2 linked regions of the Mus musculus genome follow. The protein of the gene in region 1 purifies or fractionates together with the protein of each later gene. This does not show direct contact. Links are inferred from orthologs where the notes say so. Each region holds a gene or a part of one and is shown on either strand. Other genes may lie near its edges.

Region 1 (3,817 bases):
TCCAGGGCCTTGTGGTATAGGGCAAAGGCTTCTGCTTCCTGCAACCAAGAAGGAGATGACGTCACACCACCCAGAGCAGAGCCTTTCACGTGGAGACGTCTTCCCAGCACACAGAACAGAGCCTTTCACATCCAAATGTACGCAAAGGGAGGCTCTGAGTGACTGCTAAGCTGTCAGCTACAGCCTCTGCAGTCAAAGAAAATCTACTACTCAGTGCTCAGACCTCATTACTGTAGAGTCCCGTGTGCACACGCACGCACGCACACACAAGGGGGAGGGCAGGTGGTAGGTAAAAGGCAACAACACAAAGAGCATTCAGTTAGTTCTTCAGCATGACCATCTCCCGAGGGAAACAAGTCCGACCTGAGGTGGAGAGGCGGCCGTCTGCAGCGCGCCATCCCCCTTACAACTCCTCTGAGGACACAAGGGATTCATTTAAGCTGAGCAGCAGGAGCTTCCTCGGAAGCAGACCTCAGAGTGCATACCTGAGCCTCCTTTGTCTGGATTTTGTGACTTTTGAAGCTTCCTTCATGGTCATCCTCAATCGTGGAGCTGGCATTTAAGGCTGCAATTCGAATCTAGGAAGGAATTCAGAGGAATAGCAGCACAGTGCTCAGATGAATACAATTATGCTTCAGAATATTTATTCTAGGCTATGAAAAACTATGGAGGAAGAACCACCAACAATCATCTGAGGAAAAAACCAGGATGTGAATCCGTCGATGGGACAATACCCAGCAAGAGTGGAAAGTATATCCTGGATACTGTCCACCTCAAAGGAACAGAGGCTGGGAGCCCCAGTTTCTACTCAACATAGAAGACCTGGGTATTAGAGTAACAATTCCAATAAAACATCAATTTTGTGTCTTTCCTACAAGTATGACTAAAGACTTACAAGCAACAGCCAGACAAGCATCCTCACCCACTGGTGTACCAACAGCCTTCCTGGAGAAAGGCTGCACAGGAAAAATGCCCCTAGCCCCCAGGAGCAGAGTGACAAACAACACTGTCACCAACAACTTAGGCAGGGATCAGGTCTTACCATATTCAGAGATTCAGCACCACCACGGAGGATCACTTCCCATCCCTGGGACACGACAGTCCCCTGCAGAGCAAACAGGACAGAAGGGTTCAGGAGGAGCCAGGAACGGAACGGCACAGTGCTCAGGCCCACCTGTGTGAGAAATATAAGGAAGGGAAAAACAAAACAGGAAATAAACCAGTTTGAAGACTATAAATGATGATGGGATCGGTAAGACAGTAGAGAAATTAGAACTTCCTATGTTGCTCCTGGAAATATGAAACAGCCCCTAAGGAAAACATATTGGCACTTTCTCAAAATCTCAGACAGAATTAGCATATGATCCGGAACTCCACTCCTATGCATCTACTCAGAGGAAAACATGTCCACACCAAAACTTGGTTATAAATGGACACAGCAGCAGTATTCAAGAGCTAAAGGTGGGGTCACACAATAGCTAAAAACTGATAAATAAAATGGGGAAAATCTGTAAAGAAACAATGTCCATTCATAACAAATAATGTATGCTGCAACATGAAGGAACCTTTAAAACCAAGCTAAATAAACGATGTCATGTGCAAAACAGTCAATACTGTCTGCATCCAGTTATGTGACACATCTGGAATAGAGACAATAGATCAGCAGGTAAGGAGAACACTGGCATAGGGCTGAGTGCCCTGCTCCAAGTTGGTCTACATGGTATAAAATACGGGTTTTTTAAAGCTGTGCCTGGCCCTCAGAGACTCCGTTTTATAAGCAGCTTTGACTCCCACTTTGAGAATGGAGGATGGCTATTCATGGTGGACATGGGAACCACACATCTGTCTAGCACAGCCCACATAACAGACAGATAACAGAGTAGAAAGGTTGCCACCCTATAAATGTATGGGGTGACCTAGGGACTGTAGGAGCACATGGGCATAGTAAAGTTTTACCAGGAAAGCTAGGCCCAAGAATATAGCAGACACACCACACTAAGGGAAAAGATTGGCACCTACCAAGCACTGCACTGGCAAAGCCCCTACCAACGCATCACCTGACCACCTGGTGTGCCCGGCAGGCCACTCCCAACTTTGCCAGGAGCTTCAGTTCATCTGTGTCCCAGCTACTGAGAACCTGCTCTCCTGTTTGTCTGGACTTTCTGTCCATGTTTCCGTTTGATCACCCAGACCCAGTACTGCCCTTTCCCCACTCCCTCTGCAGCTTCGCTCTCAAACCCAGGACAGCAGCAGTCTGACTCACAACAGCTTCCACAGAGGTGGACTATTTGTGTTTTATCAACTTCTTTACTTCTCAGGAAACCTCTTAAACTCTGCTGTGGCCTCTTAACCCTTGACAGCAACCATGAAGTGCGCGCACGCGCGTGTGTGTGCGTGCGTGTGCGTGTGTGGGTATGTATGTGTCCGTCCTATGAGCGTGCTCCTTTGGATGCTTTTCCCACTCACCTGGATTCAGGGTACTTTGGGTTCTGCTTCCTACAGGAGGAGCAACCTCCTGGAAACCTGGCTTTCTGCCTGTAGGCTGAGAGAGGGAGGTGAAGCAGCCAACGCCCAAGTTGCACACGGCTAAAACCACGGTCATTTCCTAACAACCTGGACATGTCACATGCATAAAGCAGGAACTGGGGCTCTGCTCCAGGCGTTTGTAGCCTCTCTCCTCTGGAGAGGAGCGAAGGAAAGCGATCCTTTGCCAGAGGCATGCTCCTGTATGGAGACAGTCACCATAGCAAAAGGGTCACTGTGTAATTCATAATGTGTACCCTAAAATTAATATTAGTAACTAGCATGAGAAAAAACAATCTGTGTTCACCTCAGCCAGGGTTATCAAGGAAAGTGGGAGCACCTGCCAAACTGGTGTCACTGAAACTGCCATAACTTGTGAAATTATTGCTATTATCATTATTTTATTATTATTGTCTTTGGCATTATAAAAGAAAAACATTTGTTGTTGCAGGATATTTGATCACACTGTAAACCCTGAGATTCTGTTATTCACTGGAAAAACCTGTTTATAGTTATGGTGTGGCTCAGCCCTAGCACACTCTTAATCCAAGAGCTTTCTGACTTCTGTAAACATGATTAAATAAAGTCAACCAGTGATCAAGAGGAAGAGCAAGCAACCAGATGACAGGGAGTGAATATAGGAAAACCAGAGAGAAAGTCAGGAGGACAGAGAGAAAGACACACGGGAAGTAGAAGGGAGGGACATTCAGTTTGAGAGATTTTGAGCCAGGGTGGAGGAGAACTTGTTTCTCTCTTTGGGACATCAGCTGTGGAGGAAGGTAGGCTGGGTGCTTTCTCTGCCTCTCTGGGCTAGCAGGCTTTCACCCTAGCACCTGTCTGGAGAGTTTATTGGCAAAATCGAACGTTTGAGATTTTATGAAAACAACAACAAACTTTCACGTCTGTTTTTTACACAGTGTGCTCAAAACAAAGAAGGGGTGACTGGAGAGTTCTGTGGCTAGAGTACTATTTATACCCTCCAAAACTAACCCTGAATTTTGTAACAGTGTTGAGAGAGAACCGGGCTGGGACCCGAGAGTTCGGTGCTAGAGTACTCAGCTGCTGTAGAGGACACAGCTCGGTTCCCATGTCAGGCAACTCACAACCACCTGTAACTCTAGCTCCAGAAGCTCTGACGCCCTCTTCTGGCCTCCAGGGGCACCTGCACCCATTTGCACATGCACGCATATCCATATGCATAACTAAAAATCAGAAACCTCAGGTCTGACCCCAGTGCTCCGGTAACAAGACGGACAGAACCTGAGGACTCACAGCCAGCCAGCCTAATAAGCAC
Region 2 (3,183 bases), on another chromosome or scaffold:
TCTTCATAGACTGGACTTTGAACTCACAGAAATCCACCTGCCTCTGCCTCCTGAGTGCTGGGATTAAAGGCATGTGCCACCACTGCTGGGCTTTAGTTGGATCTTTTTAAATGAGAAACTTGCCACACTGTTTATATTTATGGAAGCTTTGGTTTTATCTAGAATTAAAATTTATCACGGAGATAACTTTTTTATTTATTTTATGTGTATAAGTGTTTTGTCTGCATGTGTATTGTATATGAACCATGTGCATACCTGGTACCCACAGAGGCCAGAAAAGGGTGTTGGAACCCTTGGGAATGTAGCTAAAATTACCTCTGTACCCTGGAATCCCCTAGATGCTGGCTCATAGAGACTTCCTAATTCCTCCTTTGGGTGCTAAGTAGTAGGTTCTTTCACAGGGTAGGTTCTGACTGTGTGTGTTTCCTCCCCAGAAAGGAACTGGCGGGGCAGTGCTGCTGTCCAACACCTCTTCCTTAAGCCTGCTGTCTTCATCCTATAAGTCCAACAACCCCAAGCTTCCAGGGGCTATGAACTCAAACTCACTGGGAATCATAACCCAATTTCCACTTCATGTACTCTCCTTCAATGCAGACTCCTCTGCCAAAGCAGGAGTCTCTAAGGATGCCATTGTCACAGGTCCAGCCCCTGGGACCTTCCACCATGGCCTCAGCCACAGTAAGTTCTTGTCTCCTGCCTCTGTTCCTATGTTGTGTGCCATGTTGGGTCCTGTATGTGTTTGGTGTAACCATGGGAACATCCCCCACCTCTGGAAGCTGCATAGTACCCGGGATAGCTGTTTTGTTCCAGACTGGTCTGCAGGTTGCCTGGGGCTCTAGATCTCCCAAACTGCTTTTCTGTTCTGTCTTCAATGTGTGTGTTTTGTTCTCTCCCCTCCTGTTTCTCTCAGGTCTTCTGGCTGGTTTGCACTCCAGCCCACCCCACACAGCGCCTCTCCCACATGCTGCTGTGTCTACCCATGTCCCACAGAGCCTGCCAGGTAAATGCCAGGTGGGCAGCGTGCTGTGCACTCTGTGCGCCACACTCCTCCACCCGTAGGTGCTTTGCTGCTGGCGCTATTAGCCATCTCTGCCTTATCATCTCTGTTTTGTATTTTGCTTTGTATTTTGAGGCTATGGCTTTTTGGGTTCCAGAATAATACAGGCCTATACTACCAGAGACTTTCCCTGGTTTCTTATTGGACTGGTCATTGGGTCAGACTTAGCCTGTGTGACGCTATATGATGGAGCATGAGCATGAAACAGGTGTTCCAACCCTAATGCATTTAAAGAGAAGAAAGGTAATGGTGTTACTTGTCCAGAGGTTAACCAAGCACTTTAGAGCCTTTATGGTGCAATGCTACATAACCTCCAGGCATTGTCAGATGGTAGAGACTCTTTGAAAGAGTGTAAGTATCCATAGGACAGTGAGAGGCCATAGTACATGATTGTGAAGGAAAGGCCTCGATCTCTGAAGCTGGCACAGCTCTGAAACAGAAGCAGCTTTTAGGCCTCCCTGGTGTAAGCTCCCTTGAAACAGATTGGGAAGCACACCTGCAATGAGGCCAGGGCCTCCTGACAGAATGGGGCTTTTGGAAGTAGGCAGTTCTAAGAGCCCTGAGTACATTGTGAGCTCAAGAGCATGAGAATAGTTATAGATACTTCATGAAATTTTGGCTTAAAGAACCCTATGAGAGCCAGGCATGGTGGCACACGCCTTTAATCCCAGCACTTGGGAGGCAGAAGCAGGTGGATTTCTGAGTTCGAGGCCAGCCTGGTCTACAAAGTGAGTTTGTAGCCAGGACTACACAGAGAGAAACCTTGTCTTGAAAAACCAAAAAAAAAAAAAAAAAAAAAAAAAAAAAAGAACTCTGTGAGAACCTGATTTTGACCTAGTATTGTTAGTACTTTAGACCTGTTTCAACCAGGTCCCTGGGCTATCAGGAGAGAAAGGCTGAATTTAGGGCAGGAGTCAGATGCAGACTCTAGGGATGAATCCGTGACCTGCTCATGGACAGTGTGGGTCCATAGCTCATTGTCTGCTTTAGGATCTGTCTGTGAGCTCCTTGCATTCATGTCCTAAAGCTGGGAACTCTGTAGTGAGTGGATGTCAGAGGCCTTGTTAGGATGAGGGTGAGTTTGCATTTCTCAGAGGGAAACCTTTGGACCTTTGAAGAGCAAAGCAAGTAGCAGTAGTCAATTCTTTGAAGAAGCAGTCACACCTGAGGACTTCCTCTGCATGGGTGGGTGGCTACCATTTGAGTGAAGTGCAATGTGGGTGTCTCCCAGCTATGGAGAGCCTGTGTGCTGTGAAAAATGAGATGGTGCCACCTCTACCTGCTTTGAAAATGACCTTTTTTGAGAGAAACAAAGTAATTGAAGAGAGACTGGAAACAGTTTCTGCATCTGTAGAATTTTCAGCAACAAAGGGCAGAGGGACACTGATAGAAAGGAAAAGAAAAAAACATTTCTTGGACCATTTTTATGTTTCCCTCCCCTGGTCTTCCAAAGCTATCAGAAGAGTTACGGATGTCGCTCAGTGGTTGAGCACTTGCCTAGCATATATAAAGCCCTGTCTCATTACCAGTACCTCAAGGAGAAAGAGAAAAACTATGGGGCAGTCAGAAGAGCATCCATGCAAAATGGGCTAGCAGACTGAACTTCATTTTGAGCTGTGCTACAGTGTGGGGCTCTGTAGGGCTGTCAGGGAGTACTCTATCTAGCAGTGAGCTGAGGCTTGCTTCCGTTCTGCTTTCCCTTCCATGTGGATTTGATGCTTACCTTTGTCTTTGTACCTCTGATACCTGAGTACATTTTGATGGCAAGAGAATGAACATTGTCTGGATTCTGTGTGGTCGTCATGTTGCAGAGTGCCTGTTCTGTAAACGGGCTCAATGGCCTCCTGCCTGAGAAGTGCTGGTGCTCATGCATGACACAGGATGCTGCAAGTAGCAATGCACACAGCTGCTGTCGGGGGACATTGCTGCTTCTGTTTCCTGTGAAGTTTGTTTATGCTGTCTAAAAGGAATTGGAGCACTTAAAGAATGATCTGATTTCACTTATTCTTTTCCAGATGCTTCACAGCTTCATGGTAAAGGGCCTGTTGTACCGAGGAAATTGTGACCACTTTGGAGGATGGAACTGAATGACATAGGTCTAGGAGGAAGCCCAACATGTATGTCTC

The links.
Region 2: the proteins of Cabin1 (region 1) and Ubn1 purify together in Homo sapiens (affinity purification with western blotting; 6 studies listed by BioGRID, with this or other methods). This does not show direct contact. The link is inferred for Mus musculus from reciprocal best matches to the Homo sapiens genes CABIN1 and UBN1.

What each region holds. Positions count from the first base shown.
Region 1 is NC_000076.6:75,754,327-75,758,143, forward strand, and holds part of Cabin1 (calcineurin-binding protein cabin-1), read right to left. Parts: intron 1,175-3,817; 5' UTR 1,046-1,174; coding exon 1,043-1,045; intron 579-1,042; coding exon 486-578; intron 39-485; coding exon 1-38. UniProt on the Homo sapiens protein: May be required for replication-independent chromatin assembly. May serve as a negative regulator of T-cell receptor (TCR) signaling via inhibition of calcineurin. Inhibition of activated calcineurin is dependent on both PKC and calcium signals.
Region 2 is NC_000082.6:5,080,984-5,084,166, forward strand, and holds part of Ubn1 (ubinuclein-1), read left to right. Parts: intron 1-434; coding exon 435-678; intron 679-910; coding exon 911-1,000; intron 1,001-3,072; coding exon 3,073-3,122; 3' UTR 3,123-3,183. UniProt on the Homo sapiens protein: Acts as a novel regulator of senescence. Involved in the formation of senescence-associated heterochromatin foci (SAHF), which represses expression of proliferation-promoting genes. Binds to proliferation-promoting genes.